Linked DNA regions of Lonchura striata. The protein of the gene in region 2 purifies or fractionates together with the protein of the main gene of each other region. This does not show direct contact. Links are inferred from orthologs where the notes say so. Each region holds a gene or a part of one and is shown on either strand. Other genes may lie near its edges.

The links.
Region 1: the proteins of SQSTM1 (region 2) and PML purify together in Homo sapiens (affinity purification with western blotting; 3 studies listed by BioGRID and IntAct, with this or other methods). This does not show direct contact. The link is inferred for Lonchura striata from reciprocal best matches to the Homo sapiens genes SQSTM1 and PML.
Region 3: the proteins of SQSTM1 (region 2) and LLGL1 purify together in Homo sapiens (affinity purification with mass spectrometry; 3 studies listed by BioGRID and IntAct, with this or other methods). This does not show direct contact. The link is inferred for Lonchura striata from reciprocal best matches to the Homo sapiens genes SQSTM1 and LLGL1.

What each region holds. Positions count from the first base shown.
Region 1 is NC_134613.1:6,279,572-6,283,311, forward strand, and holds the start of PML (protein PML), read right to left. Parts: upstream 2,290-3,740; 5' UTR 2,025-2,289; coding exon 1,438-2,024; intron 1-1,437.
Region 2 is NC_134617.1:6,704,364-6,708,103, forward strand, and holds the start of SQSTM1 (sequestosome-1), read right to left. Parts: upstream 2,936-3,740; 5' UTR 2,875-2,935; coding exon 2,697-2,874; intron 2,584-2,696; coding exon 2,488-2,583; intron 1,698-2,487; coding exon 1,468-1,697; intron 1,360-1,467; coding exon 1,191-1,359; intron 749-1,190; coding exon 659-748; intron 493-658; exon of another isoform or gene 156-492; coding exon 1-155. UniProt on the Homo sapiens protein: Molecular adapter required for selective macroautophagy (aggrephagy) by acting as a bridge between polyubiquitinated proteins and autophagosomes.
Region 3 is NC_134618.1:15,722,169-15,725,908, forward strand, and holds the start of LLGL1 (lethal(2) giant larvae protein homolog 1), read left to right. Parts: upstream 1-1,023; 5' UTR 1,024-1,062; coding exon 1,063-1,143; intron 1,144-3,695; coding exon 3,696-3,740. UniProt on the Homo sapiens protein: Cortical cytoskeleton protein found in a complex involved in maintaining cell polarity and epithelial integrity. Involved in the regulation of mitotic spindle orientation, proliferation, differentiation and tissue organization of neuroepithelial cells.

The DNA.
Region 1 (3,740 bases), on a different chromosome or scaffold from region 2:
GGACGGGACAAGGATACGGGACCAGATGAGATTGGGGACAGGACAAGATTTGGGGACAGGATGAAGTTTGGGGACAAGATGAGACTTGGGGATGGGATGAGCTTTGGAGACAGGACAAGGTTTGGGGATGGGATGAGATTTGGGGACAGGACAAGATTTGGAGCCAGGACAAGATCTGGGGCCAGGACGAAGTTTTGGGACCAGAACAAGATTTGGGGCCCGTGTGAGATTTGAGGACAGGATGAGTTTTGGTACCAGGACAAGATCTGGAGCCAGGACAAGATCTGGGACCAGGATGAAGTTTGAGAACGGGACAAGATTTGGGGCCAGGACAAGATCTGGGGCTAGGACAAGATCTTAGACCAGGAAAGATCTGGGGCCAGGACATGGCTTTGGGATGGGACAAGATTTGGTACCAGGACAAGCTTTGGTACCAGGACGAGGTTTCAGGATGGGACAAGCTCTGGAGCCAGGACAAGCTTTGGTACCAGGACAAGATCTGGAGCCAGGACAAGATCTGGAGCCAGGATGAGGTTTTGGGATGGGACAAGCTTTGGGGCCAGGACAAGCTTTGGTACCAGGACAAGATTTGGGGCCAGGAAGAGATTTGGGGACAGGACAAGATTTGGGGCCATGATACAGTTTGAGGACGGGACAAGATCTGGGGCCAGGATGAGGTTTCGGGATGGGACAAGCTTTGGAGCTAGGACAAGCTTTGGTACCAGGACAAGATTTGGGGCCATGATACATTTTGAGGACGGGACAAGATCTGGGGCCAGGACAAGGTTTCGGGATGGGACAAGCTTTGGTACCAGGACAAGATCTGGGGCCAGGATGAGGTTTCGGGATGGGACAAGCTTTGGAGCTAGGACAAGCTTTGGTACCAGGACAAGATCTGGGGCCAGGACAAGGTTTCGGGATGGGACAAGCTTTGGTACCAGGACAAGATCTGGGGCCAGGACGAGGCTTTGGGATGGGACAAGATTTGGGGCCAGGACAAGCTTTGGTACCAGGACGAGGTTTCAGGATGGGACAAGCTTTGGGGCCAGGAGAAGTTTTGGTACCAGGACAAGATCTGGAGCCAGGACAAGATCTGGAGCCAGGACGAGGTTTTGGGATGGGACAAGCTTTGGAGCCAGGACAAGATCTGGGGCCAGGACGAGGTTTTGGGATGGGACAAGATTTGGTACCAGGACAAGATCTGGGGCTAGGACAAGATCTGGAGCCAGGACGAGGTTTCGGGATGGGACAAGCTTTGGAGCTAGGACAAGCTTTGGTACCAGGACAAGATCTGGGGCCAGGATGAGGTTTTGGGATGGGACAAGCTTTGGTACCAGGACAAGCTTTGGTACCAGGACAAGCTTTGAGGCCAGGACAAGATCTGGGGCCAGGAGGAGATTCGCGGTGTCGCCCGCAGCGGTGCCGAGGCGCTCCCACCTGCAGACGCGGCTCTCCTCGGGGTGGCTGTCGCTGGAGCAGAAGAGGCTGCAGGAGCCGCGCGTGTCCTCCAGGAACTGCCGCGCCGAGCCCGCCCGCAGCTCCTCCACCCTGCGCACCCTGTGCGCCTTCTTCTTGTGCCACCACTGGTGCTCCTCCAGGCAGCGCCCGCACAGGAACTCCTCGCACTCCTGGCACCAAACCAGCGCCGCCTCGGCGCGGCAGTGCCCGCAGCCCGGCCCGCCGGCGCTGCGGATCTGCCGCCAGAGCTGCAGGCGGCTCCGCAGGTTGCAGAAGAGCAGGTTGTCCACGGCGGGCACGGCCGCGGCCGCCCGGCAGCGCGGGCACTGCTTGGTGTCGCTCAGGCACGCCGGGCACAGCGTGTGCAGGCAGCGCAGCAGCCGCGGCTGAGGCGACTCCTGCCCGCAGCCGTCGCAGCGCAGGAATTGGAAATCGTCATCTTCTTCCTCCTCATCCTCGCCCTCGGCGGGGTGATGGGGAGGGGAGGCCGGTGCCGGGGTGCTCGAGGCCGGGCACGGCTCCGGCTGCTGCTCCGGTGCCGCTTGTGCCTCCGGTTCCGTCTCCATCTGCGGGGATGCGCCCCCGGGATGGAGCAGGTCGGGGGTCGGAGCTACAGATCCCGCTCGGGGCTCTGCTGTCCCGCCCCTCGCTCCCTCGCCACCCTCCCGAGCTCTCGATCTTCCCGGAATCTCGGGTTCCCGAGCGCCGGTGGAAGTGAAAGTAAAACGCTTTCCGTGCCGCCATGGCCACCGCCCCTTCCTGCCCCGACAGAGGGAAAAGCCGGGACACCCGGACCCCAAAACCTCCCTGGCTGAGACCCCAAAACCCCCTTGGCTGAGACCCCAGAATCTACCTGGCTGAGACCCCAAAACCTCCCCGGTAGCAACCCCAAAACCTCCCTGGCACCGACCCCAAAACCCCCTTGGCAGCAACCCCAAAACCTCCCTGGCTGAGACCCCAAAACCCCCTTGGCAGTGACCCCAAAACCCCCTTGGCAGCAACCCCAAAACCTCCCCGGTAGCAACCCCACAATCTACCTGGCACCGACCCCAAAACCCCCTTGGCTGAGACCCCAAAACCTCCCTGGCTGAGACCCCAAAACCCCCTTGGCTGAGACCCCAAAACCTCCCTGGCTGAGACCCCAAAACCTCCCTGGCTGAGACCCCAAAACCCCCTTGGCTGAGACCCCAAAACCTCCCTGGCTGAGACCCCAAAACCCCCTTGGCTGAGACCCCAAAATCTACCTGGCAGCGACCCCAAAACCCCCCCGGCAGTGACCCCAAAACCCCCTTGGCTGAGACCCCAAAATCTACCTGGCAGCGACCCCAAAACCCCCCCGGCAGTGACCCCAAAACCTTTGGCTGGGACCCCAAAACCCCCCCGGCAGTGACCCCAAAACCTTTGGCTGGGACCCCAAAACCCCCCCGGCAGTGACCCCAAAACCTTTGGCTGGGACCCCAAAACCCCCTTGGCTGAGCCCCCGAAGCCAAGGGAACCCCCTTCCCACCCCGCCCTAAAAACGCACCCGGCCCCTCTCCCCGGGCAGGGGCTCCGGTCTGTCCCCGGGACCCCCCAGGTCCCCCCCGGGTCCCCCCCCCGGGTCCCCGGTCTGGCCCGGGTCTGTCCCGGGTCTGTCCCGGGTCTGTCCCGGGTCTGTCCACGGGTCTGTCCCGGGTCTGTCCCCGGGTCCCTCCCGGTACCTGCGGGGCGCGGCGGGGACGGGAACGGCGGGAGGAGGAGCGGGGAGAGGGAGGGGAGAGGGAGGGGAGAGGGAGGGACAGGGAGGGGACAGGGAGGGACAGGGAGGGGACAGGGAGGGGAGAGGGAGGGGAGAGGGAGGGACAGGGAGGGGACAGGGAGGGGACAGGGAGGGGAGAGGGAGGGGAGAGGGAGGGACAGGGAGGGGACAGGGAGGGGACAGGGAGGGACAGGGAGGGGAGAGGGAGGGGAGAGGGAGGGGAGAGGGAGGGACAGGGAGGGACAGGGAGGGGAGAGGGAGGGGAGAGGGAGGGACAGGGAGGGGACAGGGAGGGGACAGGGAGGGAACAGGGAGGGAACAGGGAGGGGAGAGGGAGGGGAGAGGGAGGGACAGGGAGGGGACAGGGAGGGGAGAGGGAGGGGAGAGGGAGGGACAGGGAGGGACAGGGAGGGGACAGGGAGGGACAGGGAGGGACAGGGAGGGGACAGGGAGGGGACAGGGAGGGGAGAGGGAGGGCGGAGCTGTGAGGCGGTGCCCGGGAATGCGGGACCGGGAATTTGGGATCAGGATCTGGGACCGGGAT
Region 2 (3,740 bases):
AGCAGACTCTGTGTTATTCCAGTCTGCTTTGGTCTGAACATTCTGGGTTGGAGCACTGCTGGTTGCCTCAGCACCGGTCTTCTCTTGGTTGGCAGAAGTGGGAGTCACTTTGCTTCTCTGTCCTCCGTGTTCCACATCGATATCAACTTCAATACCTAGAAAAGCATTTAAGGTAGACAAAGTGGTAAGAGGTTTTTTTTCCAAAACAGCCCTAAATGGATCGATCCTGCTCTACACTCTTAAGGTTTCTGTCATCCTACAATCTGCCATGTAACAGCAGGAATTAAAATGCAAAGCCTTCTTTACTAAAGAATAGCTAAGCACTGAACAGCCATCTTCCTCCACACAGACAAGCCAAATACTTAAAGGCAGGGCAGAAGTTACATCTATGTCCACATAAACCAGGCAAAATCTAGAGTCACCACTGACTTAAAGGGCTGACACATTATTGAAATTTTTCCTCATTTTTTTCAAATAAAAGGTACTGAGCAACTGTTCTAAGCCTAAGCATTATTAGTATCCAAGTATAAACTAAGCCTTTGAGGCTTAGGACAGGAGGTAATTTGAAGACCAGTCACAACAACTGACTGCTGCTCCTGTTAAACAGACCTGTAAGCCAGTCTCAGGGACTGGTAACAAACTGTACATTATCACTTACCCAGGGGACTCAGAAAAGCTGCAACACTCTCCCCAACATTCTTTAGGAAGGTGACATTGGGGTCCTGAGGCTGGCTGTTAGTAGAAGCTTCTAGAAAAACAATTTCTGTTAGCACACACAAGCTCTGAGGGAAAGGGCACCTGCAGAGGGTGTGTCCCCACAGGAGCTTAAAGCTCATTCCTGTCACTGACATACATTACAGAACAAAGCACTACAGAGAACAACTAACTGGGCTACCTCTGGAACAGAAAGCCAGTATTAGCATTATTATGGCTCATCAGCCATGCTGAAAGGCAGGTCTGGAGTACAATAGTGACATGCTTGACCTAACAGCTCAGCTTGGTTGGGTTCCAGATACTTTATCTGCATCCTCATTGACTGCACGGACCCAAGCACACCTTAAAGTAATAACACTTTGTGCTGAAAGGTGCCAATTCCTTTGTTCTCCCACCCAGATTCTACCCTATGCTGCAGAACCTCAGCTGGTCTGAGGCTCCACCACCACCCTGTCTACCAGGGCACCTCCTCTCACCTTCTGCAGCAGGTGCACTGGGGGCTGCAGTGGTGGCTTCAGCGGTGGCTTCAGCTTGCTCCGAGTTCTGGCAGGGAGCTGCAGGCCCAGGATACCCCCAGCAGTGCATCCATGGGAAAGGTGGAACACCATGGCGCATTTTACGGAGCCAGCGTCCTCGGGGAATCCACTGTAAAGGGTGACATTCGTGTGACAGCGAGTTCTGAGCAACTGAAACGCCTGACTTGAATTTGAGGAATCTCTCACTCATCAGTTGCCTTCCATAGATTTTGCTCACCTCAAACGGATTAAGCAGTGGGCTTTGGAACATCACCATGTTGTGCTCCTTGTGGATGCCCTTCCCCTCACAGGTGCTGCACAGGTCATAGTCTGGACAGACACTGCACTTGAACCTGGTCCCCACCACAGGTCCCTCACAGCCATCACAGATGACGTTGGGGTGCACCATGTTGCGGGGCGGCTCCTGGCTGCACTGCGAGCGGTGCTCCCGCTTGCACTCCTTCTTCTCTGTTAAGGAAGGGAAATTCCACATCAAGATCAGATTACTATCTACGGCCTTGAAGTCAGGCCGAGGAGGAAGCACAAACAGCCCGTCCGAGCAGTGTTGACTTACTAGGTCAGTTTATTTTTACACTGGCTGTCAAACCTAAGCCAGGCTCATGTAAGAGACCTTAAACCACGTGCAAAGAGGTTTTGCAAAGATACCTCCTCCTGAAACCAAGCCTACGTTATCCTAAATATCCCTTGGCACACTTTTTTTAGATTAGCACTGCACCACCTCATCTGGCTTCTCACCCTACCTTCCCAAGCACTGCAAGAACAAAATGTTTCTGGAGAAGGAGTTAGGAATGCAGATGCCATGAAGCATAACATGAGAATGGGGACAACAGGTGTGGCTCACTAGATGGACTGCAGATAAAGCTTTGAGGGCTTCTACATGAACAAGGGACTGGGAAGCAACTACGCACTGGGAAAGTGGAATTAAAGCTAACATGTTGTTTTGAATATTTAGGATACCACCACTGGTTTAGTGTATCCAGGGAACGAGAATGACAACAGAGCCTCACACTGGGCCAGCTGATAGGGCTAGGAGGAAACCTGTGGTTTGTTTATCCCACCTCAAATTCATGTTCCGTCACATTACACTGCCCTTTATTTAACCTCCCCCGCAGAGGCCGCAGCTTCCACTCGGCGCTCGAGGACACGGGAAGGGCCGGGGCTGGCTTCTCCCGCTTTGGGAGCGCTGCCAGGAGGCTCAGCCGAGACCCGCCGTGCCCTCCGGAGCTGCTACCCGTACCTTTGATATAAACACGGAACACGCCATCCCGCACGTAGGGCATCGCCAACTCCAGCTCCTCGTCGCTGGAAAAAGCGATCAGGTCCCCGTCCTCATCTGGAAAGGGCGAAGCGCAGGATGAGGCGCCCGGTGGGGTAACGGGGCAGCCAGAGCCCCGCGCCCCGCGATCTGCCACCCCGGGACCCGGCAGCTGCCCCAGCCCCGCTCACCCTTGTAGTGCATGCGGAAGGCGGGCGGCGGCCCGGCCCGCAGCAGCCCCTGGAAGAGCTCGGCGACACGGTCGTAGATGGCCCGGTAGCGAGCGGGCGGCGGCAGCGTGAAGCGGCGGATCTCGCGGGCCGCCTCCTCCTTGCCCAGCAGGTAGGCTTTCACCGTCAGCGCCGCCATGGCTGTGGCGCAGCAGGAATTGCGGCCGGGACCGAGACACGGAGCGGCGAGGGGCGGGGTGAGCGGCGACGGCGGCTCCGCCGGCCGCGCTTTTAAGCGCCGCGGCAGCGGCCCCGCCCCCGAGGCCACCCCCCTCTGCCCTGCCCCGGCCCGCCCCGCTCCCGTTCCTGCTCCGTCCCCATCCAGGGCCACGGAAAAGCGCCCACGGCGCGCGGGAAAACCTGTGGATACGTGCAAATGCCCATGTCTGCTCCCTGCCCTGCCCGGCCCCGGTTTGGGCCCCGGGGCAGCGCCAGGGGCGTGGGCGGCGCGGGGTTCTTGTGGTCCCCTGAGCACCAGCGGGGGCGGCGGGCAGTGAGCGCGACACGGGGACCCCTGGGTGACCTCCGAGACACACCGGGGGCAACACCACAGCACGGGCAGCGCCGGGCCGCCCCGGTCCCGTCACCGCTCCCGGCCGCCGGGAGCCGGCAGGCGCTTGGCATCCCGGCGCTGCCTCCCCTCCACGGCGGCAGCGCGGCCGGGAGCGGAGCGGGAGCCACGAGCCAGCCCCGCTCGTGCGGCACCCACCGGAGCGGCTGGCGTGCCGAGCGTGGCAGGAATAAATAACTGAACCCCTGTGTCAGGAGCGGGCACTAAAAATAAGGTCACTGGTGTAAACACAGCTGACATTAAGGAGGATGTGCTGTGGCCTTTGCAAGCTGGTTGGCAGCAGTATTTTTTTTGCGGATCACATACAGTTGACAGGCCTCTTAATCCGGCCGCAGGAGGGTTCAGCTGGCAGAACACACCGTCTGTGCTGTCCAAGCATAATTAAATAATGATGGATCAATGATTATTAGGTTCCTTGTTGGTGTTACTTTCCT
Region 3 (3,740 bases), on a different chromosome or scaffold from region 2:
TCTTTAGCTCTTATTCCCTGTCCTCTTTCTCTCCTCCCCTTTTCACTACCCCCTTCTTGCTCCCATCTGTTTTCCTTCTTCCTCCTTTGACTTTTTCCTCCTTTTCCCTCTCTTGGGAGCAGACCCAGCCTCCCCACGCTCGGTCCCGGGGCTGTGCCGGCGCTTCGGGCCCCTCCATCCCTGCGTGAGCCCATCACCGGGGCTCGGTTCCCCGCTCGCCCGGGGCTGTTTTCCGCCCCAAACCCTGCACCGCCCCGCAGCCGCATCTCCCCGGGCCGGGGTTAGTCAGCAGGGAGGGGAAGCCGTGCCCTGCCCGGGCTGACTCACCCCAAAACTGGGTGCAGGGCAGGCTGCACCCCCTCCCACCTGGGGATGGTGCCGCGGGGGGAGTGGGGAGCAACATTCCCGGTGCCCTAGCGGGAATAATGAGTCGCCAGCCGGGAATGAGGCTCGAGTGCTCATTCCGGGAGCCGCCAGGATGCTCCGGGCCTAGCAGCCGGGGCGCCGCCATGTTGATGCACCCCATGGCTGTGGGGCACACCATGAGACCCTAAATCCACGACGCCCCATGTTTGTGGGGGCTTTGGGACCACCGTGACCAAGCTTGGGGTATCCTCGCTGTCTCTCACTATGCCCACGGCGAGGGAAGACGCCGAAAGAAGAGGATTTAAAAAAGAATACAAATAAACCCAGCGCAGAGGGCGTTGAGTTAGAAGACTACATCTCCCATCGGCAGCCGCGGCGGCGCAGGCGCAGCGCAGGTGGGCGGGGCCGCGGCGCGCGGCGCGCGTTGCCGCGCGGTGATTGGCGGGCGGAGCTGTCCGTCAGGCGCTCCGCCCCGCCCCCGCCGCGGCGGTGCTTGCCCGGGCTCGGCGGGCGCGCGCACCGGGACCCCGCACCGGCACCGGGGACCCCGCACCGGCACCGCGCCCCCTGCCGGCCCCGCCCCGCGCCGCGCCCCGCCGCCGCCACCGCCGCCCCGGGACCGGCCCCGGGACCGCCGGCCGCGCCCGCCCCGCCCGGTACCGCGCCGCCGCCACCGCCGCCGCCGCCGGCCCAACCATGATGAAGTTTCGGTTCCGGCGGCAGGGTGCCGACCCGCACCGCGACCGCCTCCGCCACGACCTCTTCGCTTTCAGCAAGGTGCGTCTAGGGCGAGCGGGGGGCGCGGCGGTGGATCCCGGGGGGCGGCGACCGCCGGGAGGCACCGGGGGTACCGGGCAGGGTGCGGCGTGCGGGCAGCCCCCCGGTGGCGCGGGGCTCTGGTACCCCCGCGGGATGCCGCCCGCGGGGAGGCGAGCAGAGTGCGGGGCACCGCCCCCCGGGACCGGCTGAACCCCCGGGGGAGCCGCGCACCGGGACCTCCCCGCTCCCGGGGAAGGGGCACGCGGGAACGGCGGGGCTGCCTGGCCCGGGGATCCCGGGACGGGCTGCTGGGCCGCCCCGGGAGGATGCACACCGGGGGTGGGTACCGGGAGCCCCCGGGTGCGAGATGCGCCCCGGGGTGCGGACCGGGGGGCTGCGCTCCTCCCCGTGCGGTGCAGGGGGGCACTCCGGGAGAGGATGCGACCCCCTGAGCAGCGCGACATCCCGGTCCCCAGCCCCTCCTGGGGGGGCTCCCGGAGCGCCCCGGTTCCCGCACTCCCCCCTGTCCCGTGGATCCCCCGAGGCCTCGCTCGCGGGCGTTTTGGGGTGACCCGTGGTCCCACACCCTGTCTGGCCTTGGAGCATCCCTGGCTGCATCCCCCATGTGGGGCTCAGCCCCCCACTCCCGTCTCCCCAGGGGTGGGATACTGGGGGGCTGGACCCCCTGTGTCAGCCGGAAGGGCTGTGCCAATGACCCCCTGGGCTTTTGGGGTGCCCTGGCACCCCAAAGATGCGTCTCTGTGGGGACATGAGAGGTCAGCTCTTGCCCCCCTCCTCCCTCCGAGTTTTACCACTTGCCTCCTTCATTTGGGGTGGGAGCGACCCCCAAGCTCATCAAACAAGCCCTGAGGTGCCAGACCCTTCCCTCGGGACACCGGGCTGTGCCTGGGACTTGGTGCACCTTGTCCTGGAGGCGCCGTGGTGGCCTTGGGACCGTGCTGCTGCCCTGCCCGCGGGGCATGAGACCACCGGCAGTGCCCCCTGGATGCGCCCAAACCGTGCCCGTCTCTCCGTCATTCGGCCGCGTCCCGGCACTGCCGTGGGGTCCTTGCCCAGCTCCTGCTGGGGACGCACCGGGGCGACCCCCGGCTGTCCCACAGCGGGGTCGGGTGTGCAGTGCTGAGGGGTCAGCGCCCCGCACAGCCCTGGCCCCCCAACTCTCTGCCGTGGATCCGGCCGGGGTGCAAGGCTCAGCCCAGCCTGAGCCCCCCTGTTTTTGGGGAGCACAGTCCCGCGGCCGGATCCTGCCCGAACGAGTGCCCAGGGCGGGTGTGAGCAGTGGGATGTCCTGGGGGGAGGCTGAGGAGAGCCCCTCTCCGGCCGTCCCAGCCCTGGGGCCGCGGGCTGCCCACCTGCCTCCCATTAAGGGTTGTTTTTCCTCCCGAGCTCCAGATCTGCCTGGGATTTGCTGTAATTTGGCCGGGAGCGCGCCTTGGCCGGCCGGCACAGCCTGCCGGATGCGGCCCCGCTGCGGGCGGGAGCGGGGGCTGCGGCGGGGGTCCCTCCTTTTGGGACTGGGAGTGCTGGGGAGCTGCGACAGCGCTTTTTGGGGACTCTTTGCCCGTGTCACCGTGTTGGTTTCTGGCCTAAAGCATCGCTGTGGTGCTGCTGTCCCAGCTCCGTCCTCCAGCGCAGCGTGCATCCCGGGGGGATTCAGCATGACCCTGCGTGGGTGGGCACCCACGAGCACCCACTTCCTCGCCCCTTGGACGCGTTGGGACCCACTTGGATGGGCCGGGACGCCTGGGATGGGCTGGGGGCGTTTTCACGCTCCTGGAGGTGTCCCCTGGGAGGGGAGCAGGAGCTGGGGTGCCGCCGGCGGGTGCGCAAAGCCGCCCCGCTGCGCCTCTCGGATGCCCCAGACAAAGGGAGCGGGTCAGGATCCGGCCAGTCTGGCTCCGGCGGCCTCCGTATCGTCTGATCGCGCCGTCGCCGCTCCGCCGAGCTGCCCTCGGGAGCCCTGCGGTCCCCGCGCCGGGGCCGGGCCGGTGGGTGCCCCCCGCGTCCCCCCGCTGCCGGGGCAGCCCCTCCCCGGCCGGCGAGCCCGGGCACGCCGTTCGGCCGGGACTTCCTTGGGAAGGTGCCCTGGGGCCACGCGCGGCTCCGGCGGGGACGTCCCTGGCGCTGGCGGGTCCCGCTCGCCTGGTTCTGCCGCCCGGCATCGGGGACGCCCGGTGATGTCGCACTGGGGGTCCCGCTCGCCTCCCCTGGGGTGTCCCCACCTCCGAGGTTCAGAGCAGGGGGGTCCCACCCCCAAAGTGCCGGCGGGTGGTGGGGCAGCTCGTTCAAGGTCAGCCCTACCCCGCTGTGGCTGTTGGGCTGGGTTTTGGAGTGCTGGGTGGAAATTGGGTGAGGAGTGATGTCCCCTTTCCCCGGGGCCCTCCTTGGTGGCACTGGGGGACAGAGCAGCATCTTCGTGATCCCCCATCTCCGGGGTGATGCTCAGGCTGGTGCGGGATCGCAGCTGTGGGGGCGAGGGGGGCTGTGGAAGGTTTGGGGGTGTCCGAGGTGGGGGGGGTCCCGCTCTGACCTGCCTGTCCCCATGGCAGACGGTGGAGCACGGCTTCCCCAGCCAGCCCAGCGCCCTGGCCTAC